3 linked regions of the Mus musculus genome follow. The protein of the gene in region 3 purifies or fractionates together with the protein of the main gene of each other region. This does not show direct contact. Links are inferred from orthologs where the notes say so. Each region holds a gene or a part of one and is shown on either strand. Other genes may lie near its edges. The genes, in order: Dkc1, Rsl1d1 and Ddx21.

What was found.
Region 1: the proteins of Ddx21 (region 3) and Dkc1 purify together in Homo sapiens (co-immunoprecipitation; 3 studies listed by BioGRID and IntAct, with this or other methods). This does not show direct contact. The link is inferred for Mus musculus from reciprocal best matches to the Homo sapiens genes DDX21 and DKC1.
Region 2: the proteins of Ddx21 (region 3) and Rsl1d1 purify together in Homo sapiens (affinity purification with mass spectrometry; 3 studies listed by BioGRID and IntAct, with this or other methods). This does not show direct contact. The link is inferred for Mus musculus from reciprocal best matches to the Homo sapiens genes DDX21 and RSL1D1.

What each region holds. Positions count from the first base shown.
Region 1 is NC_000086.7:75,089,990-75,101,034, reverse strand, and holds the start of Dkc1 (H/ACA ribonucleoprotein complex subunit DKC1), read right to left. Parts: upstream 5,182-11,045; 5' UTR 4,924-5,181; coding exon 4,908-4,923; intron 4,448-4,907; exon of another isoform or gene 4,403-4,447; coding exon of another isoform or gene 4,321-4,402; intron 4,202-4,320; coding exon 4,134-4,201; intron 3,801-4,133; coding exon of another isoform or gene 3,753-3,800; coding exon 3,666-3,752; intron 2,574-3,665; coding exon 2,482-2,573; intron 2,273-2,481; coding exon 2,088-2,272; intron 1,006-2,087; coding exon 941-1,005; intron 603-940; coding exon 476-602; intron 46-475; coding exon 1-45.
Region 2 is NC_000082.6:11,190,916-11,201,478, forward strand, and holds the end of Rsl1d1 (ribosomal L1 domain-containing protein 1), read right to left. Parts: intron 10,516-10,563; coding exon 10,380-10,515; intron 8,805-10,379; coding exon 8,656-8,804; intron 8,572-8,655; coding exon 8,470-8,571; intron 5,652-8,469; coding exon 5,558-5,651; intron 5,482-5,557; coding exon 5,359-5,481; intron 3,797-5,358; coding exon 3,545-3,796; intron 2,823-3,544; coding exon 2,565-2,822; 3' UTR 2,122-2,564; downstream 1-2,121. UniProt on the Homo sapiens protein: Regulates cellular senescence through inhibition of PTEN translation. Acts as a pro-apoptotic regulator in response to DNA damage.
Region 3 is NC_000076.6:62,579,681-62,589,519, forward strand, and holds the end of Ddx21 (nucleolar RNA helicase 2), read right to left. Parts: intron 9,139-9,839; coding exon 8,977-9,138; intron 8,444-8,976; coding exon 8,324-8,443; intron 7,858-8,323; coding exon 7,784-7,857; intron 6,005-7,783; coding exon 5,845-6,004; intron 5,086-5,844; coding exon 4,951-5,085; intron 3,419-4,950; coding exon 3,374-3,418; intron 2,928-3,373; coding exon 2,670-2,927; 3' UTR 567-2,669; downstream 1-566.

The sequences.
Region 1 (11,045 bases), on a different chromosome or scaffold from region 3:
GTGTCCGAATGTAGGTGCCAGCTTCACAGCTTACCCAAAAGATTCCTAAGACAAACACCACACACACAGAGAGAGACAGAGACAGAGACAGAGAGAGAGAGAGAGAGAGAGAGAGAGAGAGAGAGAGAGAGAGAGAGAGAGAAGTAAACACATGATTTTCTTTTCAAACCTTGGGCGTGATGGAGGCTGATTTTAATCTCAAGAGGCGGAGACAGGTGGATCTCTATTGAGTTCAAGGACAGCTTGAATTGCAAACAGCAATTTCCATAACAACCAGAGCTACTTAATGGAGAGACCTAATCTAAAACAAACTAACAGAAAGACATAGGGAACAGACATAGGGAATAGAGTATGACTACACAATGTACTCAAAAGTTTCTACTACTAACAAGAGAATCCCTGATAATATATTATCCCCCCCCCACCTGCTTGTGGATCTAAAGCAATTCAGCTTGATATATATCTAACAACTCACCTAATCTTCTCTCAGGATCATATTCTATCATTTTGCTCTCGTAGATAGTCCTCACTCGAAGCTGCCTCTTTACTGCAGCAATAAGTGGGGGTCGCTGAAACAGGGCACCTGTCAGAGTTTCTAGGGCCTAAGAACAAAGCACAAACAAAAAATTATGTGGGCTCATTTTAAAATAAGACAAAGGGGCATATTTAGGGAGTTTAAGAACATAATTCAAATACAAAGTTTTCTTTCATAAAATTAGTTCAGTTTCTTCTTTTTCAACTACGAAGGGATAGCTCAGCACTAATCAGAATGTCCTTCACAGAAAAAGCATGGCTAGAAGGCATCCCTAGCACCAGTCATTCATCACCCAGGAATCTAGGACAGCCCATTCAAAGAGCACAAGAGACACTAGCCAGGAGAACTTTCCTGGAGTTCAGAGACCCAAATCAAAGGTATGCTCCCTACAAGTTATAGACTTACCCTAGAAAGCTGAGTACCCCCTTCAATAGCATTGTGCAGCCGGACAATTCCAACATACTCTTTGCCTGAAAAAATGACAAAAGAGTAGTCAGGTGTGGCCACTGAGTTTTCTGTTTTACAAATGTTCTATCACTGCCACGTGAAGTGGCAGAAGCAGTAGGGAATCCAACGTCTGTTTCAGTAAAATCTGTACTGACAGACTTAATGTTGTAGATAGAGAAAAGAAATAAAGACAAATTTTCTTGGGTCAGGAATAGCCCACGCCATGGCTATAACCTAAACCCAGAAGTTTAGAGGCTGAGATGGGATAATTGAGATTTCCACAGCAACATGAGCTACACAGAAAAGCCTTGTCTCAAAAATGAAAGAATGGTCAGACAGTGGTGGCGCACGCCTTTAATCCCAGCACTTGGGAGGTAGAGGCAGGTGGATTTCTGAGTTCGAGGCCAGCCTGGTCTACAGAGTGAGTTCCAGGACAGTCAGGGCTACACAGAGAAACCCTGTCTCAAACCCCCCCGCCCAAGGAAAAAAAATAAAAGAAAGGAAGGAAGGAAAGGATGGAAAAAGCTCGCTCACGTTCACACACACATTTTAATGCTCAATGTGATGGCAGACACAGAGGGAATACCTACTGTAGAGTCTAACAGGAAAATACCTTGTACTTTAAGCAGAATTTTCTTGGGTGAAAATGGGGAAAGGAGACTTGAGATAGAAACATTAGAAACATGACCTGAGTTAAGAAGCAGTAAACATGGCAGGTGGTGGTAGCGCACGCCTTTAATCCCAGCGCTTGGGAAGCAGAGGCAGGTGAATCCTCGAGGCTAACCTGGTCTACAGAGTGAGTTCCAAGACAGCCAGGGCTACACAGAGAAACCCTGTCTGCAAAACCAAGAACACAATAAAGAGCAGAACCAGCAAGCATACAAGTGACCTGCCGCAGCGCTAGGAACAGGACAGTTGATTCAATATCCACATGCTTAGTGTCTCAAACTCTTAAAGAACCACCAGATTTTGGCAGAGAACAACAGAAACCAATTCACACTCGTGCTTTAAGATTTTTTCTAAAGAAATAGTTTCTAAGAGCCAAAATGTAGAAGTGAAACAAGAACAGAAACAAGTATAGCCCCCTACTCTCTCTTTTACAAACCTGCACTCTGTTGTGATTTCACCAAACGAGTGGCTCGTTCAATGCACACAATTAAACAACCAGTCACTTTGGGATCTAGTGTGCCACTGTGGCCAGTCTTCTCTACCCGAAGTATTCGTCGGATCCAGGCTACCACCTCATGGGAAGAGGGGTTAGAGGGCTTGTCAAGATTAATGAAACCGGTCCTAAAATAGAAGAAAAAAAGGTAATCACCTCCTGTTCTTGTCTAAAAAAAATAGCATGAAGACATAAAAAGAAAAGCAAATCACATATTTAGGTTATATATTCAGGACAAAGCTGTTCTAAGCTGCCACTACTACTCCCTTGAATAACAAATAAATTCAGTGAGAGCATCAGTTTCAAAAGACTTTAAGTTTGGACAGAGCATGCCTACCTGATATAGTCCCCAATCTCCCTCTTCAGAGGATTTGAACCACAAGGAAGAGGTGTATAGTGTGCTGTCCTTACATTTAGCTTATCAAAATTCTAGAAAGCAATAACATAAGTTTAATAACATATCAATAGAAGTAAAACAAGAGTCAGTAAATAACACCACCAACCACTGTAGCCCTTCAAGCCCATAAATGTATGTTGTTCCCATTATTAATGACACACTACTAAGCCTTCCTACATACTAGGGAAAACTGCAATACTAGTAACTCACGACACTTGAGAACAAACTTTGCAAGTTATCTTTTGACTTCTACACGTATGCCATGTGGAGCATGCACCCCCAACATCCCACCCACACACTGTAATCGATGAAATAAAAATTTATATTAAATTTATATTTTAAAATCTTCTTTGCTAGATGTCTTAACTTTATAGCTGGTATCCACTTTGTGAAAATTATAAATTTTAGTTCAATGGGTTACTCAATATCACTAATTAAATCCCTAAATAATAACCTATAATTTCTATGACATGCAACCGTAAACTAAGCATGCTTCATAGAATACCTCCTATAACTCCCTGCACATCATCCTAAGAGAAAATAATCATGAGCAATTAATAGATTCAGTGAGGTTAAAAGACTGGCCCATGGCTGGGGAGATGGCTCAACAGTTAAGAGTACTGACTGTTCTTCCAGAGGTCCCGAGTTCAATTCCCAGCAACCACATGGTGGCTCACAACCATCTGTAATGGGATCCAATGCCCTCCTCTTCTGGTGTGTCTGAAGACAGTTACAATATACTCACATAAAAGAAATAATTGTTAAAAAAAAAAGTGGCCTAGGATCACATATACTCTTATTTCAAAGGCGTCTGGCTTCAAAACCCCATGTTCTTAGGCACTGAAACAGTCTACAGGAGTTGATTTCAAAAGTGCAATTGTCTAAAACCTAACAGCAATTGACATTTTGGTGACATACTATATTCCATGCTACATCATTTAAAGTTTTCTAAATGTAAACTATGCTGGCAGTGAGCATTCCTTTTTTGAGACAGGGTCTCTTTATGTAAACTAGGCTTGCCTGGCCCACTGGAATAAAGAGCATGCAACACAACACCCCAGCAGTAAGCATTAACTAGAAATAATATGGAATTCAAGCATCCATCTGATACACAGAAAACATACCTTTAGTAACAAGGGCCACTGAGAAGTGTCTAATTGAGCCACTTTAGATTCTGGTTTGATAAGAAATTCTTCAGCATGTTGTATTTCCTTCAATAGAGCAGAAACATTTCTCAGCTTAATTTTGGAAGTGCATGCCTTTTAAACAAGAGGAAAGGAGGGGTGTGATTTCTGAAACCCAGGTCACTCAACTTTAGGAAGATCAAGTTGAATCCAAATATTTTAACAAAACCATGGGTCTGCTGATGGAGTAAGGCAGAGAAATTCAGGGTCAATAGCTCACCATTTAGCATGCCATGCATGTTAGAAAATTTCTCTGGGAGTTGTATGATTTCAGGTTTTTGCCCGTTCTACATAATGACCACTAAGTACTAGCATATTGATTGAGAATATTTAAAAGCACTTTCCCCCTTTAATGTGCTGTTTACTAAATTATCTCAATCAGTCGAAGCAAAGTAAATTTCTACTCACGGCAACATCATCTTCTTGTAATGGCTTCCGGTCTTTTTTCTTCTTATGCTTCTTTGGGAATGTAATTACTACAAGAAACAAACTCAATATTTGAAGATTTTGAAAACTAAAACCAAAGTTTAAAATTAACTCTAAAATCGGGACAAAGAAAACATTTTAAAGTCTGACATTACTGGAGAGAACTTACGTTTGTGAGGCCAAACACTAGGATGGCTTGGCTGGTAAATGACTCTAGCACGTGTTGGCTTCCCTTCGGGTTCTCCACGTGGCTGTGGCAAGGCCAAATATTACTTAGGGAAGCACTTGTCCACAGGCTGGAAAGTTTCACAAACGAACACTGCACTGTCCATAGGGGCTTGTGATCTCTTAAAGTTTTTCTTGTAGGTCTGAGTTACACTTGCTTCCAACTCCTCTGTTCCTTTCCTTCCTAACCCTTGCTCTGCACCTTTGCTACCCTCATTTCCATAATGTCCTGCCTAGTGCCAGCAGAAATGCTACCGCGTCTCCTTATCACGACACAGTCGCCTCCACGGCTGATGCCTTTGGGAGGGGACCCTGGTAGAATCTTTTGCACGAAGCCAGGATCTAATGAAGCCTAGTCACTGGTCACGAATGCGTGCATTCACAGGTAGAGCCAGAGCCGAGTGGTGAGACAGCCAAACTGCGAGCGGGAACACGGGGAACCGCGGGTCACGATGCAATCTCACTATAACTAGCTCCGGGTCGTGTAGGAGGCCCCACAGGTCTCATGGCACTGCCACCAGAACCTCTTACCTTCTGCATCCGCCATCTTGAACTGCACCGCGTGCGTCCCGCCCAAGCCGCCACAAACTAAGAACTGTAGACTCCTATGGTGTGAGACCCGTCCGGGCACGTCATTAGGACCCGCCCACCGTTGCACCGCCCCTAGCTTGCTGATATAAAAAAGGGACGTAGAGAAGAGGAGGAGGAGGAGGAGGACAGGACGGGGTACGGGGGCAGGAATCTCTACGAACCCGCGGACTGTCTACTCAATCCCATTGGCTGATTCGGCCACGGAGGTGTGACCGCACATGCGCCTGGAAGCTCCCCCTCACTCCTCCCCACCCCAACCCCACACTGCCAACCCTTGGCAGAGCGCCTTGGAACCTTGGCCAGGCTTCTGCAGTAACAGACTACAGCGGGTGGGCTGTACTGTACCCTCCTCCAGTCTAGCTTCAGCTTCAGCACTTGGACATCCTTCTTAGCGCGCTATAAATAGCTGGTTTTAACTCAAACAGACATTTTTTTGCTTGCTATCATGTCAGTTTCAATTGAAAAAGACATTGAGGTACACAGTGTCAAAGTGAAAGCTGTTTACTCCTTGAAATTCCTATTAAGTTATGGCTGTATTGGCCAATAGGAATTGAGTGCAAGCCTCGTGTAAACTTTTAAATTTTCTAGCAGCTACATCAAACTAAAAAGGTTGAAAGTGATTCTGGTAGTTAATTTTACATAACCCTGCGGATCTGGCATGTTATTTTAATACGGAAGCAATATGCAGCAGTGTGTAATGTTTTGCTTTTTTCTGTATGAAGTTTTTTTCCAGTGTGTTTCACACTTAACCTGTACACTTAAGTTCGAATTCCACAGCCTGGACATCAAGTGCAGAGCTCTAGTGGCTGAGATAATGTAACAGCCAGAAAGTAACAGCTCTAGGATTGAGCCCTGACTTTTGTCGGGTAGAGTCTTCTGGCTGTTAATCCGAGCTACTGCCTTTGAGATAAGATCTCTGGAATATCCTCCTTCACCCTGTTTCCTATTCTACCTCTGTAGATTCTTTTGGCTTTCTGGATTCATAACCCATATCTAGTGAATTTGATAGATCATTAGTTATCTTCATTGTAGATGGAATCATTTGCCAATAGTTTTCCAGTTAGTTGTTGCTGACAAAAAAAAAAAAAATAGTATTCTTTTTCTTCTGATCTACAATGCTAAAATCAGATTTTTTCAGTTTTTTTTTCTGTTTTTTTTTTCTTTTTTACTATGACTTACAATGGGTTTTTATGTCTTTATGGAATTCATTTTGCTAATAGTGGTAATGATCAGAATTGACTATTAACAGATAAGACCCTTAGAATTAAATGTTATTTTATAATGCTCCAGTGATAATTAATAGGGTGAGTAAATCTGAAGTACTCATTTGCCATTTGTCCAGTGCCTTCATCTTTGTCCTGTATCTCTATGCTCAAATCTTTTTGGAGAGATTTTGCTTTCGGAGAGTTCCAGAACCCGTGGATTTTTCTTCACTCTTACTTCTCTAACCATCATTATAATGTCTCTATTTCTCCAGTAGCTTCCTGAAGTCCCAACTTTTTCTACTTTCCCTAGATTGTCTTAATAAGCAGCCTGAAAGTATCATTAAACTTAGGTCCTGTTTATGCTTAAAATACTTTTTAAGGGTTGATGATAAGGTTCAACAGTGAAGTGTGAGTGAGTGAGTGAGTGAGTGAGTGAGTGAGTGATGGATGAGAGCAAAGAAAGAAAAGTTCATTCCCCTCAGACAGATTTTCTTAAGCCAAGAGTTAACCTCTGCTTTGCCCCAGGACACAATTTAAAAACCTAGAAGCTGCAGGAGAAAAAAAAATGTGTTTGAAAACAATCTTAAGAGTTTGTAAATGTGTGTCTCTGCACAGGAAAACAAAAAATCCAGTCTCTTCTCAAAGATTAGGGATTTAAGTCTCTGAAGTTTCCCTCTCCTAATTTAGGGTTGGTCAGTTTGAAGAAAGATAGAGTGGTTGATTAGCCTACTGTTTTGTAGCAAGCCCTGAACCAGCCTTGAATTTGTTGAGCTAGTTCACCAGCAGGGTCTCACAGGTGGAAGACAAAGGCTTACAGGGCTTTTGTTTTATACTGCTAGGCCTTTGTCTCAAATCAGGAGTGTGAGGAAGAAAACAAGCCATCTTGGAAATTTAACACTTTTGTTGCTAGTCATGGACCCTCATCCTATCTGTGTGCCAAGAAAAGTATCTTAACACCTGATGCTCTCTAGTTTCATCAATTTTCCTGCTAATGGCTCAATTCCATTTCATCCTTCCTTAAGGCTGAATAAAATTCTACTATATATATATATATATATATATATACATATATATATATAATCCCATATATATGGGATTAAAGGCATGTGTCACCACTGCCCAGCAATAAGCATTGATTTAAGAAAGTGTTTTAGCCTAGTTTAGTGATGAATGCCTTTAATCCAAAAGGCAGGCAGAGCTTGAGTTCAAGGCCAGACTGGTCTATAGAGCTAGTTCCAGGACAGCCAGGACTACATACAAAAATCCTGATTTGAGCGGGGCGTGGTGGCACACCCCTTTAATCCCAGCACTCGGGAGGCAGAGGCAGGCGGATTTCTGAGTTCAAGGCCAGCCTGGTCTACAAAGTGAGTTCCAGGACAGCCAGGGCTATACAGAGAAACCCTTTCTCGAAAAAAAACAAAAACCAAACAAACAAAAAAACCCAAAACCAAAAACAACAACAACAAAAAACAAACAAAAAAAGAAAACAAAACAAACTAAAACAAAAAGTATGTGTTTTGTTAGTATATTGTACTGGCTAGTACATTGTTTTATGTGTCAACTTGACACAAGCTGGAATTATCACAGAGAAAGGAGCCTCCCTTGAGGAAATGCCTCCATGAGATCCTGCTGTAAGGCATTTTCTCAATTAGTGATCAAGGGTGGGAGGACCAATTGTGGGTGGTGCCATCCCTGGGTTAGTAGTCTTTGGTTCTATAAGAAAGCAAGCTGAGCAGGCCAGTAACATCCCTCCATGGTTTCTGCATCAGCTCCTGCTTCCTGCCCTGCTTGAGTTCCAGTCCTGACTTCCTTTGGTGATGAACAGCAACATGGAAGTGTAAGCTGAATAAACCCTTTCCTCCCCAACTTGCTTTTTGGTCATGATGTCTGTGCAGGAATAGAAACTCTGACTAAGACATATATACTTTTAGATTTTGATTCCAGACTATATTTCTATACACTATTTTCACCACAATCTGGCCAGTTTCCAAAACAATATTCCCACAGTTATTTGAGAAATCATCACTGAACTTGGATGACTCCTTCTGGTACTAAATCATTTACTAGCTAGAGATGTTATCATGTATCATCACTTACTGATGCGGCAATTTCTTTTTGCTGTTAGACAAACTTCGCAGAATGCATTTACACAAGTCTACACCTAGGAAGTATAGGTTAGTTACTGTGTGGTCTCCTGATACAATCATAATATGAATAAAGTTTATAGTAAGCTTTTAATAATGTTAAAAGTGTAGTACACTTGGGAGGCAGAGGCAGGTGGATTTATGAGTTCGAGGCCAGCCTGGTCTACAGAATGAGTTCCAGGACAGCCAGGGCTACACAGAGAAACCCTGTCTCCAGAAAAAAAAAAAGAAAGAAAGAAAAAGAAAAGAAAAGAAAAAGTGTAGTACAATAAAAACATGATCCAAAAAAACCCCAAAACAAACAAGCAAACAAACAACAACAAAATACCAAACAAACAAACCAGCAAGCTGGGCAGTGGTGGTGCACACCTTTAATCCCAGCACTTGGGAGGCAGAGGCAGGTGGATTTCTGAGTTTGAGGCTAGCCTGGTCTACAGAGTGAGTTCCAAGACAGCCAGGGACAGACAGAAAAACCATCTCAACAAAACAAAACAAAACACCCAAACAAAAACAACAACAAAAAGAAACAAAACAAACAAACAAACAAACAAACGGGGGCTGGAGAGGTGGCTCAGCAGTTAAGAACATTGATTGCTCTTCCAGAGGACCTTATTTCAATTCCCAGCAACCACATGATGGCTCACAACCATCTGTAGTGGGACTCAATTCCGGTGTGTCTAAAGACAGGGACACTATACTTATATTTATAAAATAAATGAATCTTTAAAATTTATAAAAATTATAAAAAACAAGTAAAATGTAAAGCTATGGTCAGGTGTGGCAGCACAACCCTTTAATCCCAACACTTGGTAGGCAGAGACAGATGGATCTCTATGTGTTCAAATCCAACATGGTCTACAATGAGAGTTCCAGGACAACCAGGGGCTACATAGAGAAAGCTTCTCTCAAAAAAAAAAAATCACAAAACAAAACAAAACAAACAAAATCCCCAAAAACAAACAAATAGACTAATAATAAACTGGACTTGATTAAAATTTAAGCCTTTTGCTCTACAAAACACATTGTTAAGAGTACAATAAAATATGCTACAGACTGGGAGAAATATTTTCAAATTATGTACTCTGACAAAAGACTGTGAAGGGAGCCAGGCAATGGTGCGTCATGCCTATTTCTGACATGTGGGAGGCTGAGACAGGAAAATTGACATGAGTTCAAGGCTAGTATGGGCTACGTAGTGAATATCAGGCCAGCCTAGGATACAAGTAAGGATTTATTGGATCATGGTTCTTTGTTTTGTTTTGGTTTGGTTTGGTTTGGTTTTTCGAGACAGGGTTTCTCTGTGTAGCCCTGGCTGTCCTGGAACTCACTCTGTAGACCAGGCTGGCCTCAAACTCAGAATGAACTTTTTTTTTTAATTTTTAATTTTTAAAGATTTATTTATTTTACATGTCTTAGGGTTTTACTGATGTGAACAGATACCATGACCAAGGCAACGCTTATAAGGACAACATATATTTGGGGATGGTTTACAGATTCAGAGGTTCAGTCCAATATCATCAAGGTGGGAGTATGGCAGCATTCAGGCAGGCTTGGTGCAGGAGGAGCTGAGAGTTCTACATCTTCGTCTGAAGGCTGCTAGCAGAATACTGACTTCCAGGCAGCTAGGATGAGGGTCTTAAAGCTCACGCCCCAGTGACACACCCACTCCAATAAGGCCACACCCTCTAATAGTGCCACTCCCTGGGTCGAGCATATATAAACTATCACAATACATATGTGTTTTTGTGTACCACATGACTGCTCAATGCTGTCAAAAAATCAGAAGAGTGCATCAGCTCCCTTGCAACTAAAGATACAGATGATTGGTAGTTATGATGTGGGAGCTGGCAATTGAAACCTAGTCTAAATCAGCAAGTGCTAAATCACTTCTCCCTGTGTGTGTTTTCATTTTTAAAATTTATTTATTTTTATTTTATGCATTTTGACTGCATGTATGCCTGTGTGAGGGAGTCGGATCCCCTAGAAGGATAGTGACAGATGGTTATGAGCTGCCATGTGGGTGCTGGGAATATTAACTGCTGAGCCATCTCTCCATCCCATTGTGTTTTCTTTTCTTTTCTTTTTTTTCTTTTTTTTTTTTTTTTTTTTTTGAGACAGAGTCTCCCTGGCTGTCCTGGAACTCAATATGTAGAGTATACTGGCTGGCAAACTCACAGAGGTTCTCTTGCCTCTGCGTCCTGACTAGAATTAAATATCCAGTTTTTCATCAAGTATAGTGTTAGTCATAGGTCTTTGTAGATATGCTTTAACAAGTTAAAGACTTTCTCCCTCTGTTTACTGTGAATTTTTGTCATGAATAGGTTCTGTCAGATGCTTGTTTTGCATTAATTGATATTAGGATATGGCTTTTCTACTTTTGCCTATCAGTCTAGGAAAATTGTGTTTATTGGTATTTGATTACTGAATATGCCTCTCATCTTTAAATAAAGCCCACTTTATCACAGTATAGAATTATTTTGTGTTTTTTTTTTTTACTTCTGTTCCTACTTTTCTTAGGATTTTTGTATATACATTCATGAGCCATATTGGTTTGCAATTTTCATTTCTTTTTCAAAACCTTTTTCTGATCTTAGTATCAGAGTAACAGTAGCTTCATAAAATGAATTGAGATATATTTGATCTGGTTGTGACTTTTAAGTATATCAATAGTGACTATGATGTCAGGACTTTTTCCATGAGACATTTGTGATAATAAACAAAATGTCATA
Region 2 (10,563 bases), on a different chromosome or scaffold from region 3:
ACACCTTAATCATGGAGTCCAGAACCACCACAATTCTATCTCTGCAACTTGACAGCCTTGACCTCTGTGGAGAATTCTCTCAATGACTGTCTTCTTCCTCAGATCATCACCTTGTTGGGAGGGTATTTCAGTTTTTTTTCCACCACCAACTAAAGCTAAATAGTTACAGCAAAATAACATTTCCACATGGCCAACTCCTCCTCCTAAAAATTCTTGTTTCTCTTTTTGAGTGGATCAGTATTATAGACTCGGAATCTATTTTCCATTCCACATGCAAAACACCCGTGATCCTGGTTGAAGCCGGCGTACAGCAGCCCATTGCCATGGGGGTTACATGATAGGAGGGTCTGTGAAACCAGGTCGAGCGGTGCTAGGGCCACCGCGGTCGGAAGCCAGGGTCTTATTTCTTTTATTTACATGTTCCTGATAGCCTAGGCCAAGATCTTAAGCGAGAATGGTAAAAAAACCATCCCTTGAGATTGGGTCACTAGTATGACCTTATTCCCCAGGGAAATCAATTCTTGACTTTTTATATCATTTATAAAATGTAGTCTCCCCTCCCCTAGCCTGAAACCTGCTTGCTCAGGGTGGAGCTTCCTGCTCATTCGTTCTGCCACGCCCACTGCTGGAACCTGCGGAGCCACACACGTGCACCTTTCTACTGGACCAGAGATTATTCGGCGGGAATCGGGTCCCCTCCCCTTTCCTTCATAACTAGTGTCGCAACAATAAAATTTGAGCCTTGATCAGAGTAACTGTCTTGGCTACATTCTTTTCTCTCGCCACCTAGCCCCTCTTCTCTTCCAGGTTTCCAAAATGCCTTTCCAGGCTAGAACCCAGGTTGTGGTCTGCTGGCCGGACACAACAATAAAACAGTTATGATAGATTAAAAACTTTCCCAACAATAAAATTTCATATGGCTACACCTGTGTTATCAGAGGTGGGTTTTGGTATATGGTAAAGAAAGTCTTAATTAGAAAGAATTAGTTTAAATTTATGCATTGAAGATTTATAAAAAATCAGGCACTAGATGTTGAATAATTGACCATATGGGGCTGGAGAGCTAGCTCAGTGATTAAGAGCACTATCATAAAGATTAACCTGCTCTTGCAAATATGCCAGTAGCCTTGAATGACTGCCTCACTGAATACATCCTTTTAGAATTGTTATATTTTGATGATTTATATTAATAATGATGTTACCTGTTCTGTATGTGATTCACTGAATACATAGTTTCAGAGTTGTAATGCTTGGATGATTTTTGTTGGTATTTGTGATTGATTCACTGGATACAGTTTCTAAGAGATGCAATGTTTGGATTTTAATGTATAAAATCCCCTGCTTGAGAGCTCCAAAATACAGTCGGATTCAAATTGCCTCTGTGTTTGTCTGTCAACACCAAATCCTTACCCACCTTCTAGGACCCCCATACCTGACTGGGGTGGTTTGTGGCAGAGAGCCAAAATGATGGTCCTGGGAATTGAACCTGAGTCTTCTGTATAGCAGGGCCACTTGAACTGTGTCTCCTGTCCCGGAGTTGGAAAAAAAAAAAAAAAAACCTCATGTATATGAGTACGCTATCTTCACGTACACCTGCATACCAGAAATGGGCATCAGACCCAATTACAGATGGTTGTCTATGTGGTTGCTGGGAATTGAACTCAGGACCCTTGGAAGAGCAGCCAGTGCTCTTAACCACTGAGCCATTTCTCCAGTCCCCCTGGAGTTGATTTTTATGTTTCAATCCCTCACCAACCACTCAGGGAATGTTTGCAGAAATTAGCTGACCTGCCCAACTGGAAAGCTGCTCCAACATGTCTTCAAAACTAGTCAGGTGCTGGGCGTGGTGGTGCACGCCTTTAATCCCAGCGCTCGGGAGGCAGTCAGATTTCTGAGTTCAAGGCCAGCCTGGTCTACAAAGTGAGTTCCAGGACAGCCAGAGCTATACAGAGAAACCCTGTCTCAAAAAAACAAAACAAAACAAAACAAAAAAACCCCAAAAAACAAAAACAAAAGTAGTCAGGTGAGATGTGAAATACCAACAGTACAGCGACTTTACACAGAAGGGGATGTAATAGTTTAATTTTTAAAAAAGCAAACATACAGAACCATCAGCAAATACACTGAACAATTTAAAAATATTTTATTGTCTCAAACCCCTAGTTTGTACAATAGAAATATTAAATTCAGAGGCACCCACAGAAACTTCTCAAAAACCATTTAAGTCCCAGACTCCTTGTTAAAAAGGCAGTGATGGAACCAGCAGCAGAGTACCTTTTGTTGGGTGGGCTTTGTTTGACAGTCCTGGGTACTGAAGCCAGGATATTGCATATGCTGGCAAAGTGTTATACCATCAGCCCAGGACTTAAATCTGGCCTTTAAATACTGAATCCTGCTTTATCCCAGGTGACCAAATGCTTTTGTAGAAAATAGGCTGGCCTCAAACTCACATACATCTGCCTATCTCTGCATTCCACAGTGTGTGAGTGTGCCACCACACCCTGTCTAACTATTCTGAAAAGCTCTAGGTTAACTCTGATGTCCTTCATGCCAATGCACTAATTCTAGTTTGAGTGGGCCGCCTTGGTTTTTTTGTCTCTGGGTGTGTTGGAAGCCTTCTTTCCAGATTTCCTGGGAGTAGAGAAGGAACTGGCCTCTGGCTTTCTGAATTCCTGAACATCCTTTTTTTGCTTCTTCCCTGAGGTCCCAGGGGCGGAGGCTTCTGGAGTCTCTGTAGCCAGCAAGGCCTTCCTTTTCTTACCCTTAGGTGTACTTGGATCAGATTTCGATTTTGGAGTTTTCCCTGTGATATTTTCTTGCATCTTAAAAAAGAAAGAGAGGAAATTAAGTCTAGAACAATAAAGAACAATATCTAACAATCAAACCTAAGGAGCCACTACTGTGCTTGCAACCCTGCGTGTATTCAGTGTGGTAGAATGAGGGGCTCTTTCCAGCACCAGACATATTTTCTTTCTTTTTGAGACAGGGTCTTACCTGGTTGGAACTCATCATGTATTCCAGGTTGGGTTCAAAGTGATAATGCTCGTGCCTCAGCCTGAGGTTCCAGGCACATGTGTAGCCTTTAGAGTATACTCCTACTTCAATATTAGAAACATTATACCAGTAGGTTGTATTGTGCTAGCAGCAGCCACACTCTGTGAGAAGTCACATGGACTGATAGATACTTTGTATGTCCTGTTAATGACATCTACATGAGATACACTTGGAGAAGATGCCCCATTGTCAAGTAGCGCAGGCTTTCAGATTACTCAAGATGCTCAAGTAAGTAAACCAGTAACTGCCTTTCTGGTTCCTAGAATTAACTCTCAACTTCATTACTTAGCACTTTTTACTTTACTTTTCCCCCTCCGAGACAGTGTTTCTCTCTGTGTAGCCCTGGCTGTCCTGGAAGTCACTCTGTAGGCCAGGCTCAAATGCAGAGATCCTCCCACCTCTGGACCACAAGTGCTGGACCCCACCCGCATCACCTAGCAGTTTTTGCCTGAAACCCAGCAGCTGCTATAAATATAACCACTATTAATACCTTTACATTTTCTTTATCTGGAGTCTCTCCTATTGGTACCAGTTGTGGAATTGCTTCTTCACATTCCTCTGTAACTTTCTGCTTTTTGTGCGCCTTGTTGGTCTTTTTCTTCTGGGCTCCTGGGCTCTTCGCTGGAGCACTGCTAGCTAACCCACTCTGAGTTAAAAGAGATGTAGCCTTCTTGGACTTCTTCCTTAACATTTTGCTTTCCTTCTTCAACTTTGCATTTTCACGCTTTCTTTTCTTTAGTTCCTACCAGAACACAAGATAAAATTTTAGTAGGAATCATTCACAGAAAACAGATGGCACAGGTTTAGAAGCTGAAGCCGAGGATTCACAAGTTCCCTGAAACATCTTTGACCCACGCAAACAGTTATACCTCAGTCTGTTTGGAGGGTCAGAGGTGTTTCAATCTGTAGCTCAGAAAGGCTTGCCTTGAAGATAACCCTCTCCACCTGCCTGTCATGCGCTACAATTACATGCTCAACACGTAGCTTTCTATTTTGACTTGGACAGGGACGGACGGACGGAGACACACACACAGACAGACACACACACACACACACACACACACACACAGTGTAGCTGAAAGCTGAAAACAGTACCCGTCAGCATGTTAACTACCTGGGAGGCTGAGGCAGGAGGATGACAACCTCAAAGGCCAGTTTGAGCTATAGTTATTGAAGTTTAAAACTTAGACTCTGTTTCAAACTAAAAGAGAGACGTGTTATACCACATCTGCTGTGTCCAAGGTCCCATACTCAATACCTACCATGAAAATGAATGTATGCATGCAACCAAGAGAGGTGGAAGGTAAGGCAGAGAGCAGGCCAGCCTGGTCTACAGAGTGAGTTCCAGGACAGCCAGGGCTACACAGAAAAACCCTGTCTTTAAAAAAAAAAAAAAAAAAAAAGTCTACGGAATCCTTTCCTATTAGGAGCTACACTCCAGAATAAATATAAGCAGGAAGCAGAGCCCATGGCCACTAAGCTCAATTTTGGTTTCAATCATTACTTAGCAGAATGCCTTTCACTCTCTTCCCAGCAGTAGAATACTAAGACAATATGCAACTCCTAGAAATAAAGAAAAAAAGACATGAAACAAAACACAGAGATGAAAAATTCAGTAGAGACAATTAGCATGGCCAAAGAGAATTCAAAACAACCCCACTCTAATCAGTTATATGTCTCCTCTTCATCACCCTTCATTCTGTTTTGGAAATATCACCTGTAGTATTAAGCCTGTAAGTGTGTGTGTGTATCAAAAGTTGGGGGTTGGGGAGAGGACTCAGTAGGCCAAGTATGCAAACATGTCAGACACATAGAAAGACACAATGTTTGGCATCTGAATCTTAATTACAGGCCAGAATCTTGGGAGCTCTTGGCCAGCTGGTCCAGCCAATCAGTGGCATCCATTGAAAGATCTTGTTTCAAAAACGACAATGGATAGCAACAGCGGAAGACATTCAATGTTGTCTAGCACACAAAATGAAGATGAGTCTTGTTAGGGCTGGAGAGAAAGCTCAGTGGTTAAGCCATCTGTTTTTTCAGAGAACCCAGGTTCAATTCCCAGTACCAAGACAGCAGCTCACAACTCCAACTCCAGAAGATCTGACACTCACAAACACATATGCAGTCAAAACACCAAGGCACATAAAATAAGCCTGAACACCCCGCTTAAGATTGAATCTATACCTTAATTTATTAATTTATTTGAAACAGGGTCTTATAGCTTAAGTTAGTTCTGAACTTGCTGTGATCTCTCTTGGCTACACATTATTAAGCCCCACCCAATATTATAACTTTTATACTAACTTGCTTCCTCAAACTACGGAGGGAAACAGCGTTTTCATCCTGAGATGTGACAAATGAAGAAAAGATGGGCAGGGAAACCGACTTCTCAGTTTTCAGGAACAACAGTTTCACACTCTGCCATTTCTGAAACAAAGAAAGAATGTCATTTATACACACTCTGCTTTTTTAAAATGGAAAACATGCACTTGCCATACTGTACCTCTGGCAATTTTTCTGAAAGCATTTCTGAGACAGCTAGGATGTTGTCAACGATGTGCTCAGTCTCCATTCCAGTGTGACCAATACGGATCGTACTAGAATTTAATAAAGCAATATAGTTTTTAATCTTTAACTTTTTTATTTTAAAACTCCACTCCCTGAGGTAAAACACCACCATGCTGAAAGAAACACCCACCCACAGGTTGGACCACAAGATGGCTCTGTGGGTAAAGGCACTTCCCACACAAGCCTGACAGCCTGAGCTAAAGCCATCAAGTTCAATCCCAGTGACTTGAGTGTAAAAGAACTGACCCTGGAAAATGCCTTCTGACACCTACACTCAAATACACAATAGTAATAAGACAAAACAGGAAAACCCACATTGACCCCAAAACTGTTCTGGGAAGAAATCACTCCCAAAAGCCATCGACACCTCCTAGTTTGCATGTCCTATCCAGCTGAGTCCTTCTGAAGTAAGAAGTTCTCGTCTCTCATGGATAACTTATTTTTAGCAGAGACCAAAGCATCTCTGCAGTTACGGACAGGGCCCAGGAAATGAATGGGAAGCCCAGTAGGGCTCCTATAGCACTGGAGCTACTCCCTCACCAGAGGCTCACTGCGGAGGCATCTTAGGGAATAGCAATTCCCAGTTTTTTTTTCTTTAGTCAGACATTGGCTGGCTGGCTACTCTGTATGTGCAGGTGTGTAAAGCTGTTTGCCCAGGTGAAGAAAAGAAGAGGAAGAGACAAGACAGGAAGCCATTGTGCTCGGCAAAGCAAACGGAAACAATAACTCACCATGCAGTACAGGCTACCCTCAAACCAGAGGACCTCTTAGCCCAGGCTCCCCTGTGGTCGGATAATGTGAGCCATTATATTTGGTATCTCTAACCTTCTCTGACACCAGCCTATAACTCAAGGGTAGGAGGCAATGACAGGCCCAATGACAACTCCTTAGTTATTTAACTGAAGCAATCAAGGGACTTCCATCTTGCAGACAGCATGCAATGGGAATCTATCTCTATTGCTTGATATGCTAAGCCTGGACCCACACACTGACCCTATCTTTGACCACTTAAGGTTGGAAAGCAATTATTATCCTGTTTTTAAAGCTGGGTGTGGTGGCAGACAAGCCTTCAACACCAACATTCAGGGTAGAAGTCAGAGGATCTCTGAGTTCCAGGCCATCCAGAATTACAGTGAGACCCTATGTCAAAACAAGAACTGCGCTGGAGAGATGGCTCAGTGGTTAAGAGCACTGACTGTTCTTCCAAAGGTCCTGAGTTCAATTCCCAGTAACCACATGGTAGCTCACAACCATCTGTAATGGGATCCAATGCCCACTTCTGGTTCATCTAAAGACAGTTACAGTGTACTCATATAAATAAAATAAATCTTAAACAAACAAACAAACAAAACCCCCAAGAACTGTTATTTTAATAATTTATTTTGAGACAGGGTCTCAATATAGTCTTAGCTGGGCTGGAACTCTTTATGTAGACTAAAAGTTTGCTTCAGACTTAGATATATCAGTCTCTGCCTTCTCAGTGCTAGGATTAGAGGGATGTGCTGCCATGCCTGGTTTACATGTATGTGTGTCTGTGCATGTGAACATGTGCCTGCCCTTTTATTGTTTCCCTTCAGAGATGAGGACTGAACCCAGGCCTTAAGCACTCTACCACTGAGCTAAATCCCAAATCCTGTAGGTGTTCTTTAGGGCCAGAGACATTCAATCCCTAGAGGAAGAATTACAGGTTGTTGTGAGCCACAGGTACTACAAGTGTTGGAAATCATACTTGGGTTCTCTGAAGAATATATGAGCCATTTCTCCAGTTCTTTTATTTCTCTAGTGTGTGTTCTGTATGTCACAGGACAATTTGCAAGTATTGGTTCTCTCCTTATACTAGTGTTGGTCCTGGGAACCAAACACAAGTTGTCATGCTTGGTGGATAGGTGTCTTAAACTTGAACCACCTGGTTGACTCCAAAGGTTTTTTCCTTAGCTTAGGTGTAAGGCTCTACCTAGCTCAGGATCCTGGGTGAGGATGAACTGAAGGAATCAATGTGTAGCTACTTCCTCTCAGTTGAAACATTCCTCCACAGACACAAAACCAAACAGGCTCCACCCCAAGGCTATCTGAGCTCCAGGCACCTTCTAGGGAGTTACCAGCAGCTGCACAGAACTCCAGTGGTACAGTTTCCATGACAACCCCATGTGTGGGTGGGGCCGGGGCTGTAAGTAACACCATATGTGCCACTCTAGGTCAGCACAACAAACTCACTGTTCATCAAGACAGACCTGTACAATCACTTCCTTCTGCCCTACACAGGGTGAACACATATCTTCACCTCTCTCCAGGAAAATCAGACAACAAAGACAATGAACTCAGTCGGGCTGCGGTGGTGCACGCCTTTAATCCCAGCACCTGGGAGGCAGAGGCAGGCAATTTCTGAGTTTGAGGCCAGCCTGGTCTATAGAGTGAGTCCCAGGACAGCCAGAGCTACACAGAGAAACCCTGTCTCAAAAAACCAAAAAAAAAAAAAAAAAAAAAAAGACAACAAACTCATTAATGGGGGATTAAAATTACTTCTAAAGCTTTTTCCCCCCAGAAGACTTATTAAAAACAAAACATTTAGGTTTTAATAGAAGGTCCTAGTTTCTTTTTTTTTGGGGGGGGGGGGGCAGGGAGACAGGGTTTCTCTGTATAACCCTGGCTGTCCTGGAACTCAGAAATCCACACGCCTCTGCCTCCGGAGCACTGGGATTAAAGGCATGCACCACCACACCTGGCTAGAAGGTCCTAGTTTTATTAACAAGATCCTTAAATGAGGTAGGGGATAGGGGGGAGAGGAGAGGATTACAAAACCCTGACATGTAAAGTTTAAAGAAATCTCATATAAATGTTCCTTGTTACCTGCAAGAACCACGCTTAGAGATGTTTAAGACGGTCCCTGTGATACATCGGTTAATCTCTTTGGACAGATTCTTTGCCAGAAGGTTCACAGACACTGGAACTCTATAAAAGCACACAGGCATCAGAACATTGGAGACACACAGAAACCCCATACCAGTCAAGTCCAGTCACTGCAAATAAACTCACTTCTTTCTCTGATAAAAATGCCTCCCTATGTGTGAGGGCAAATGCCGTCGAATTCTCGCATCAGTAATAAAGACTTCAAAGCTACCCAGGAGGCGGAGCTTGGCTTCATAGGCTTTATATTCTGTTTTTAAAGTTTTAAAAGGGATAATCTAGAATACAGAAACAAGACCAAAACCATAAAATGTTAAGCATCTAAAACAGAAGGAGAAATATTTAACACTTCCGATTCAGACTGGTCCTAGAGCCATGCCCCTCTCGGATTAATAAATTCCTAAGCAGCTAAAATATGCTAGAGGCCTAGCCAGATGGTGGGAGACCCTGAGAGGAACGATCAAGGAGCCTGGATAAAATCCCAGCATGTCAGCCAGGCACTGAAGTATATGACATAACTTGTTCTTGGGAATTTCAGGTTGGAGAATACTAACTTTGAGGGTAGCCCAGCAATTGAGCAAGATGCTATCTCAAACAAAATAAAACGAGCTGCAGAGACAGACAGCTTAGTGGTTAAAAGCATTAGTTTCTCTTACAGAGGACCTGGGTTTGATTCCACCACCCACATAGTAGCTCGTGGCCATGTGTATCTCTCTCCAGGTCCAGGGAATTCAAGACTCTCTTCTGATCTACATGGGTACTTATATAAGGTGCATAGACACATGTAGACAAAACACCCAGGCTGAGCGGTGGTGGCGCATGCCTTTAATCCAAGCACTTGGGAGGTAGAGGCAAGTGGATTTCTGAGTTCTAAGACAGCCTGGTCTACAAAGTGAGTTCCAGGACAGCCAGGGCTAAACAGAAAAAAATACCAGTCTCGAAGAAAAAAAAAAAAAAAAAAAAAAACCAACCAACCAACCAAAAAAACCAAAAACCACCCACTTTTAAAAAAGCAAGGGTATTGTGGGTGGGGAGGTAGCAGCACTTGATATAGAGGTGTAAAAGTTAAATCTATTCTGAGTTAGAGGCTAGCCTGGTCTACATTTCAAGTTTGGGGTAGAGTCTAGCATGTGTAAGTTTGATCTAACATGTGTAAAGTTTTGGATTCAATTCCTACTACCAGGAGAAATATAAAGAAACAGACTACAAATATAAACAAATAATCACAAGCCAGAGCCAGACATGTGATGCTCTACAAGTACACAAAAAATTAGGTTTTTAAGCAATCTGCAACGGGAGTATAGATGGCTCAGTGCTTTGGAGCCGACTGCTCTTAGAACACATGAAAACAACCTTCTACAACTCCAGTTGCGGGGAACCCCATTCTCCCTTAGGCACTCTGCTCAAGACAACTAAAAATAAGATATGAAATCTGACATGCATTTAGCTTTTCAGACACCAATCAGAATACCACCTTTAGCAAAAGCAAATACAGCCAACAATGACATTACAGTGGCAATTACATTAAAAAGAGAAAAACGGGCTGGAGAGATGGCTTGGTAGTTAAGAGAACTTGACGCTCTTTTGAAGGACCTGCGTTTTATTTCCCACACCAATCAGGCAGCTTACAACCACCTGAAACCCTAACTCCAGGAGACTTCAAACCCTTTTCTGGCCATGGAAGACACCTGCATCCACACGGTGCATGCATGTTAGGAACACACATCATAGCCATAAAAGAATAAAATAAAATTACAATGAAAATAGACCTGAAAGATCAAGAATTACAGCAGTGTATCGTACTTCATTTCTATGAAGTCTTTGAAAGGACTTCAACGCATCAGCACACCTACCTGAGAGATAGTGTTAACTCCGTGTTTTTTCAAAAGCTTTTTATAGAAACCTTCTGTCTGTTCAGGTGAATCGAATTCATCTTTTGTGAAGAGACATACATCTGAGGATTCGGAGAGAATGCTATGAGGCAAAGGTCTGCAAAACACGACAAAAAAGGCCAGAAAGTACGTGGGTTATTCACAA
Region 3 (9,839 bases):
AATAACCATAGTGTGAGTCTCACTTATTTGTAAGCTGGTCAGGGATAAGCTCAGAATTGGTTGTGCTACAAGTCTACATAGTTCCAAGACAGCCAGAGATACACAGTGAGATCTGTCTTGAAAACATTTATTAAATGTAAAATTATTTTAAGTCTTAAAATGTATGTACATACATATTGAAAGGTAAACATAGGATGTTAGGGGAAGAGAGCAATTCACAAAACTTGAATGGATGATTCAAGAAATGAACCTGTAGAAAATGGCCCACTGAAGGGCTGGGGGGATGGCAGTGACTGCTCTTCCAAGAGGTCCTGAGTTCAAACCCCAGCAACCACACGGTGGCTCACAACCATCTGTAATGGGGGATCCGATGCCCTCTTCTGGTGTGTCTGAAGACAGTGAAGGTATGTTAACATAGGATTGCGTTCATTTTTATGACAATTTAGCCAAGGCTAACTCCCCGTTATAACCTGATCTGCTTTAATGCAGTATACACAAAAGGCAAGCCAAGCTACTAGATTTACAGACCTAGCAGTCACTGCTATAAAATAAAAGCCACCAAGAACTAAATATAAAGCATCGGTATCTTTATTATGGCATAATGCAGTACTTTATACAGCAATTCATTTTAATGTAAAAACATTTTATGTACAGTTTCAGGAAAACATACATAGACAGCTGGAACATAAAAACAGGCTGTAATTTCAAAGTCCAGATTTATTTGATAAAGTGGAAAATATTTTCTCTGTAGAAAATAGTAAAAATGATAACATTTCCCAACAAGCCCATTTAAACCAAATAATAGTTGAATTATACATATAAATATTGCTTAGTTTCTGCAATCCAAAAGAAACTTCATTTGTTTGAAAAGTCATGTTTCATTTAAATTGTGTCAATTGGAATTCTTCCCTTCTTCCCCTTCACTGTTTGGTTTATGACAGATCATTTTTCTATAGGGTAACCCATTAATTCAAAATGTCTTTTAGCCTTTCCTCCTGCAAGCAGAGCCAGTATGTCCTTTCATCATCTTGAACTGGCAAACTCTTTTATCCCAACAGTGACATGCTTCATTAAACCATGCCCACATTTCTTACAAGCTACAGTTATCAACAAAGAAAACAAGAAAAACAAAACCCAACAAATCCTGAGCACAGAGGATGAGCCATCTGGTCAGAGTTCAAGGGGAAAACTGAATTTAAATAGAAAAAAGGGCACTGCTTCAGCTACCGGGAGCTGATTGGTTATCAGAGCCCTTTAATGCCAGGTAAAGGCCAGTTAGGAGGTAAGGACCATACTAAAATGAAGGTCTTAGTTGATCCAAACAATTAAGAAAAATTAAAAAAAAACCAAAATGACAGTGCGTGGTTCTGACTTTCCTCCCAAGCCTGTTCTAAGAGCCCTGCGCAGAATCTCTAGTACAGCTAGAGGACCCCACCACTCAAGCTTCTGTGCTAGGCGGGATGATTCCCAAATAAAGAACACCAGCAGTAGGCAGGGGCTATGCTTCAGTTCCCTCAAAGTAAGAGCTTAAAATGGCACAGCTTGTCATAGAAGGGCTCTCTGAGCTGTGATAATTTTTCAGAGAAGCTGCTTAACAGAAATAGATTTTACGTTGTGGTTTAAGATCTAAGCCACTGAAAACAAGCCTGTCCCACTGTGCCCCTTTAACAGCCCCAGACTGCACACTAGCAGACACAGCCCCTCCAGGAGCCACGAGTCAGGACCTGCTCACCACTCAAAGCACGCTTCTCCACCTCCTCACCTGTCACGATCAAAGACACCTTTGTGGCTTTTTTGAGATATTTGTCAGCAACACCAACTGAACCCCATGCTTCTTGGTAAATTAATCTTCCAAAAGTGGGGTGCAAGCACTTACATACCATTTATCCAGTCTCATTACTGACAAAAACACCTAGACATGTTAGGCATTTGGGCCTGAACTTTACACTGGGTCCTATAAAAATGTCTTTCTATATACCCTTGTCTGGAGACTTCACTGGAACAGAAAACACCTAATGAGTGTGTGAAGACACTGGAGTGAATCTGCTGTCTGTTCTACGCTCAACACCCAGAGCCGGGCACAAACTATTCAATCAGCTAAGTCTGAAGCGGCTCTTGAAAAGCTCTGCTCAGCATCAAACCTCAGCAGACACATATGAACACAGCAATTGTTTGCAAGAGTCCAGGATGCCAAGGAATGCAAACAAACACATTCCGCCCTGGCTCTTGCAATCCTCCAGAGACTGAGGCATCCCCTAGGGACTCACTTTGAAGGATGAGTAGGACACATGTATAGGGACTAGAGATGCAGTTTAGTTGCAGGGCGTGTGTATACTCTGCCTGTGTGAGGTTCTGAGCTTAGGCCCCAGTGAGTGCACACACACACACACACACACACACAAAGATAAAATTACAAGATCGACACACCAAGATAGGCAGATCCATGGTTGGTTTTACTTTGTAAATCTAAAAGTATGTTGGAAAACGATGCAATGAATTCTTATCCTTTTTCAAAATGAAGAATTTGTGATGGTTAGTGGACAGTTCAGAAGCCTCTCTGCAAGAAAGGGGGCGCTGAGAAGTGGTAAAAAAAGGAAGGAAGCACTCGGGCTTTGTCAGCAGGGTGGACCCTGGGGTCCACAGTGGGAACAGTCCCTTCTGGCCTCTACTCACTGACCAAACGCTTTACTAAAACTCCGCTTCTGGCCTCTGTTGCCACCTCCTGGTCGCTGTCCTCGGAAGTTTCTACTTCCTCCTCGCTGTCCCTGTCCCCGGAAGTTCCTGCTTCCACCCCGCTGTCCTCTGAAAGCACCACGGCTGCCATCACGCTGACCCATGCGGCCTCGATATCCGTCTGGAGGTCCCTCCAGCTCTGGCTGCTCGGTGGCCACGGTGAGCTGCCAGCGTCTCGAATCATGCCACTTCTCCTGTGGGTAGAAGGTTTGTTCCATGGTTTTATTAAATTTGGTAAAGCCACATGAAAAACTAATTGTCACGTCTCTAAGGAACAAGCTGTTAAGTGTTTTCAAAAGCTGCTAGTACCAAAGCCATGTGGCTAGTGTGGGGACAAGCCTTCTGAAGGCCAGTCCTCATTCTACATTTTGGGTTTGCTGCATCTGTCTGAGGTACACGCTCAACACAGCAGCAGCAAGTGTGCAGGGGAGCGCTCTGCAGAGAGCAGCGCTGCAGACGCTGGGCCCAGGTCCTGGAAGGAGCAAGGCAGGCTGAGGCCCAGGTCCTGGAAGGAGCAAGGCAGGCCGAGCAGCAAGGTCACGACAGCACAGGGGGACAGATCTCTGCAGCCCACATTGTCATTCTGCTTTCAGAATGAATACTGTATGGTCTACAAACAGTAAAATCAAAAAGAAAATACCTGTATTTCTGTGACTGCTTCAGTTCGGACATCAAAACAAACCCCCTAAAAACCAAAGGAGGAAGAGTTAAATCCAACCAACACAGATAAACCAAAATACAAAGAAAGTAGCAGGCCCTGAGGCAACGGACCCTAGAGCATGGCTAACTCGAGCTCCAGAGAACAGCAGCAGGAGGGGAAGGGTCTGCAGCTACTCAAGCAGTTATTCATGGCTAGTGTACCCTGCTAACCCAGAGTCAGGATGACAATGAAAAGCAGAAATTAAACTGTCTTCTAGTTTTTCACAATTCAGTTTCCTATGAGAACACTAGAAAAGGGACCTATCTAGTCTACATTGTCAGATCTTTGATAAGCACTTCCCTTATCAGTCGGGGAAGGTGCCATCAGCACCAAATGACTCCTGTAATGGCACAGCTGAGCTATACTTTTCCACCCATGAATTTACCCAGCCACAGCACAGGTGTCTGTAGGTGCTGAAGGACTCTGGCATTTGTGGGCTTCTCCAGAACACTGGGCATTCAGGTATCCAGAGAGGTTTTGCCCTAGAGTAGGTCACAGGCTTAGGCTGTCCATTTTAAGTAATCAGAGTGGGAGAAAATATTATACCCCAAGAACTCTACCATACAAGTAAGGACTGGGAAGTTGCGCTGAGCCTGAGCTCAGTGAAGGACACCGTGGAGTGGAAGACGCTGTAAGTGACTGTGGTGGTTTGAACATGTTTGGCCCATGGGAAGTGGCACTATTAAGAAAGTGTCACTGTGTAGGCAGGCTTTGAGGCCTCCTAGTGCTCATGCTCCTTCTAGTGCAGAAGACTCTCCTGACTGCTACAGAAGTTAGCTTCACCCTGGCTGCATTTGGATCATGATTTCAACCTCTCTGCTCCTCCAGCACAAGGTCTGCCTGCACGCACACAGCACTGTCCCCACCATGATGCTAACAGACTGTACACCAGCCCCAATTAAATGCCCACCTTTATATAAGAATTGCCTTGGTCATAGTGTCCTTGCAGGGCAATGAAACCCAAGACAGTGACCAAGGTCAGCTCCCAGTGGGAATAAGGTGGTGTGTCTGGTATCCTGTAGTGCTGGGTGCTAGGGGTGGCAATGGGGAGCTGGACAAGTTTATCCTCAGCTTCTGAAGATGGCTCATGGCTTCTCTGATCAGGCATCACCCACTTCACAAACATCTTTACCTAATACTGGGCTCTGGGTTTTCCATATGTACACGTGTGTGTCTGTGTGACTACAGAGGGATCCCATAGTCAAAACTATTTCTCTAATAATACTTATCTGCCCTTTTTATTCTCATTTCCCATAAGGTAGCAAAAGCTTAAATGTTTGGGTGCTCAGTCTAGAAGTTTCAAACTTGAACTTAAAATACCAAAGTAAGCTACTCTGTGACATCGGCAGGGAAGCAGTGGGGTGACGGGGCCTGGCACTGTGTGCAGCTTAGGCTGAAGACAGTGCTGAGGACAGCTGTGGAGAGTGAGATCAGCACCCCATCAGGCAGGGAGAGGACACACCTGGTGCCCAGGCTAACCCTGAGGTGTGCTGAGGTCCCGGAGGGCTGGCACTCACCAGTTTTCCTTTGAGGAAGACCATTCCCTTCACTTTGGCATCGATGCTCTCGCCCAGCTGCTCCTTAAGTTCTTTCCAAGCGTAACTGATGTTGGGCATCTCAATGGAGCACCGCAGGATCATGGTCACAAAGCCCTTGGGGAAGAAAGGCACACAAATTTGAAAACCAATTGGCAAAAGCTCTTGCTCTGGGGAGGGAAGGATTTCTAGAGAAGCTCTCCATGACAGCGCAGCCCCCAGCCACCCAATGGATGCCAGTGGACTGGGGCAGTCCTAGGAGGACTGTTGGGAGCACCAGTATCAGTGCCCAGTCCTTAGCTTTCTAAAGGATCTGCACTGGAGGGGGGGTTGAGCATGAGGAATCGACCCATCAGTGAACTTCTTATGCCACATGGGGCTACAATCAATAAACACATCAGATTTCAAAGTGTCAAAGGAATTCACCACTGTAACTATCAAGTTAGTGCATTTTAATTTCGTTCTAGCACTTTTTAGCATATTTTAACTCTCTCATTTGTCTGTGAGCTCACGTGTAGAAGCCAGGGATCAGGTCAGAAATCTGTTCTTCCTCCACTATAAAGATCCCGTAGATGGGATTTAGGTGGTTGTAAGGCTTGATGGCAGGCTGTTACCTGCCCAGTGTCACTGGCCCTTCATTTAAAAGAAAACTGAAGTAAACCATTACCCATAGCAGTCAGCGTCATTTTTCCTTCCAACCCACCCCCGGGAAACACCCATCTCTTCTGCCCCTATTGATTCTGTCTTTAACTAGGAAAATGGCAAAACACAGCCAGTGCCTTCGTGCCTCTAGAAGGGGGAAGCCAATGAGGAGGTTCAAATGAACTCTTCTAGTTTTGCTTAAGTCCTTTTATAAAGTACCAAAACCTTACTTACTGCTTGCGAGTTGATCAGGGAGCGCTGATCGACTGATGTGGCTCCTGAGATGTGGGCCAGAGCAGCTGCCAAGGCCTCTACAGCTCCCTTCTCCTCAATCAGCTTCTCAGCTGACTGCTTGAAATGGCTAATGGCAGTGGGAGGCACAGAATCCAAGAGCCTGTGTGTGAGAGAATAAGACAACACTTCAGTAACAAAGTAAAGGAGCTTTAGAATGGGCCTCAGCATGCTGGGGGTGTGGCTAAGCTGGCATGAAGAAGTCCTGGGTTCAATCCCTAGCACTTCATCAACTGGAGGTGCTGCCACATTCCCAGCACTGAGAACGCAGAGGCAGGAGGATCTTAAGTTCAAGGTCATCTTCTACTACAGTGAGCTCCAGGCACTCTTGGGATATAAGACTCTGCCTCACTATAAGACACAATGGGGCTCCAGTAGTGCATTTGTTTGCATTTATTGTACCCTTTGGGACAGGACTTTATTTTATCTTCCTGAAAACCTGCTGTGCAGAGCAGACTGGCCTGACACTCATGGTTCCTGCTGGGATTCCAGACATGCTTCACCATGCCCAGCCCCCATACTGCCTTTAAATGAGAGATTATAAAGTATTTAACTCAAATCAAAACACCGATCACAAGCAAGTATGTGATGCTACTTTTAAAAGTAAAAAAAAACTATAGCCAGTTACATTCTACACTTTTCACAAGTGCTCTACAGCAGATCACAGAACACGTATGTGTGCAGGCTGGCTTTGTCTTGGCCATAACAAATCAGCACATCGGTATGCTAAGTAAGGTAAGCTGCACTGGCAAAGGGCTGATATCCTAAAGAACATTTCTTACCCACTACTAGAATCTGCCTCTTCTTCCTGGTCACCAAGCCCATATTTCCTTAACTAGTCAGTATCCCACAGTATCCCACGGTACCACAGGTCCTTAAGGAAAACATGCTACCATAAAATCAATTTAAAAATGTGGCTTGGGCCATCTAAAGACTGCCATATCCAGGGATCCATCCCATAATTAGCTTCCAAATGCTGACACCATTGCATATGCCAGCAAGATTTTGCTCAAAGGACCCTGATATAGCTGTCTCTTGTGAGACTATGCCGGGGCCTAGTAAACACAGAAGTGGATGCTCACAATCAGCTATTGGATGGATCACAGGGCCCCCAATGGAGGAGCTAGAGAAAGTACCCAAGGAGCTGGGGGGTATGTGCAACCCTATAGGTGGAACAACAATATGAACTAACCAGTACCCCCTGGAGCTCGTGTCTCTAGCTGCATATATCGGTCAGTGGAAAGAGAGGCCCATTGGTCGTGCAAACTTTATATGCCTCAGTACAGGGGAACGCCAGGGCCAAGAAGTGGGAGGGGGTGGGGGAGCATGTGGGGGGCTTTTGGGATAGCATTGGAAATGTAAATGAAATAAATACCTAATTTAAAAAAATGCGGCTTGGGGAAGACTCCCAAGGTCTCCTAATACTTCCTTTGCCTATGGACTTCCTTGCCTACTTACTACCCATTCAAACTATACACTTTAGTAGAAACGAACTTCCTACTAAATCTTGGGTGATCATAGTTATCAGCCACCATGTGGTTGCTGGGAATTGAACTCAAGACCCTCTGGAAGAGCAGCAGTCAGTGCTCTTAACCATGGAGACATCTCTCCAGTCCCATGTTACTCCTCATATGCACTTAAAAAATAAAAAATAGCCAGGCGTAGTAGCACACGTCTTTAATCCCAGCACTCGAGAGGCAGAGGCAGGCGGATTTCTGAGTTTGAGGCCAGCCTGGTCTACAGAGTGAGTTCCAGGACAGCCAGGGCTACACGGAGAAACCCTGTCTCGAAAAACCACTAAATAAATAAATAAATAAATAAATAAAATTAAAGGTCCAAGAAGCAGCATCAAAACAGACTTTGGTGGTGGTAGAGACTGTACCTGATGGCGTCTTTGCTGGAGGCTTTTATTATTTCCGTTGCAGAAGGAACACCTATCCGTTTAAATTTAATTCCCTACAAAAAAACACAATTTCATGGTTTTCAAAGATTATTGTTTCTACTGAGGTTAAGTAATTTTTTCCTTAAATCTATCAAATAAACCTCTTTACTCTGTACCCTGTTTCCCGGATTAATAGCTCTAAGGAGTTATGTTCTAGGCTGAGGGTGAGCCACAATGGGAGATTGTCTGATGCTCTTCTCATCCGTAGACTATGGGATTGGGGACAGAACTAATTCTACGGGTGAACACCCATCTCTTTCCCTCTCTGTGGGTGATGGACTCTGCATCCATCTCTGATCCTCTCCTCCCACCTCTCTACTCTGTGCAGCAGCTTTAAGGGAAGCTCTTCAGTGCAAGTTAGTGAGCAGGCCTTCTACCATGGACCAACAAAGAAAACACAGCTTGCTGCCATGATTCCAAGGACTGACTTTGCCTTCAGAGCTTAGCACGTGTTGAATATAAGTTTGGAAATCACTTTACCGCTTTCTGCTCCACTTGTGCTAACTGGTACTCTTCTTTGTTCTGGTAAAAGCAGATGCAAACTCCTGTCCTTCCAGCTCTGCCTGTCCGCCCCGAACGATGAATGTAAGACTCCACATCCTGTGGAAACCAAGCGTATGAGTGACATGACAAAGATTAGGCAGCCTGTGCAGAGCTCGGTGACAAAACTGCTCAAAGAGTGGTCCCTGTACTGTGTGCAAAGATCCCAAGGTTCTGTGTATTTCCAAGCTTCAAGTGGCTGCAGAAGAAGCATTCAAGTATATTTTAGTAGTAGGTCTCATTTACTCTGTACACTCACAAGCTAGAATGTTTCTATTCACAACAGGACATGAACCCATCCACATGTCCAAAAGATGAGTGGATAAGAAAATGTACACAGCACAACGTGAGATGATGAGATCTGTGGGAAGATGGAGACGCTGACGCAGAAGACTGAGTGCACAGCCTAACTGTAATCTCCCTCTTTCTCTCCATCCATCCAACCATCTAAACTGACTGTGTGCAGAATTCAGAAGACCAGAAAGGGCCTGAAAACTGCATAAAAGTCAGTGAAAGGACTTTTAGTAACACAAAGAAACAAAAGCAGTAATTTTGTATTGTTATTAAAAGACAAAACACAAGACCAAACATACCTTTGGTGGGCAGCTCTGAACAACCAAGTCAACCTCAGGGATGTCTAACCCACGGGCAGCAACATTGGTTGCCACCAAAACTCCAAAATTGCCATTTCGGAAACCTTTCAGGGTGATTTCCCTTTGCTTCTGTGGAATGTCGCCATGTAAGGACTGGGCATCCTGCCAAAGAAATCAACTGACCTCAGAATTCAGAATTCTAGACACAACATGACACTGTCCACCTGCAACAAGAGCTCAGCTTGGGCAGGGAATGCCATAAAGTGAAAAGCAGACACCCACTCACCCACCCTCCCCCCCCTCTCAAATTTATATATTTTATGCTCGGTCTGCATGTACACCTGCAGACCAGAAGAAGGCATCAGATCTCACTATAGATGGTTATGAGCCACCACGTGGTTGCAGGGAACTCAAGACCTCTGGAAAAGCAAACAGTACCACTGAGCCATCTCTTCAAACCTTCCCTGTTTTAAAAGATTTATTTATGAAGAGCAGATGTCTTCTTGCACCTGCTTCTTTTTTGTCTCTGTTTGTTTTCCAGAGCTGAGGCCTGAACCTAGGGCCTTGCGCTTGCTTGGCAAGCACTTTACCACGGAGCCAAATCCCCAACCCCTTGCAACCTGCTTCTTACATGGAAAAAATCTTCAAACTGTTTGTAGCTCTCAGCTGTTACATCAACTGTTTCTTTTTTTAAAGATTTATTTTATTTATATGAGTACTTTGTAGCTGTCTTCAGACACACCAGAAGTGGGCATTCGATCCCATTACAGATGGTTGTGAGCCACCATGTGGTTGTTGGGATTTGAACTCAGAACCTCTGCAGTCAGTACTCTTAACTGCTGGGTCATCTCCCCAGCCCACAT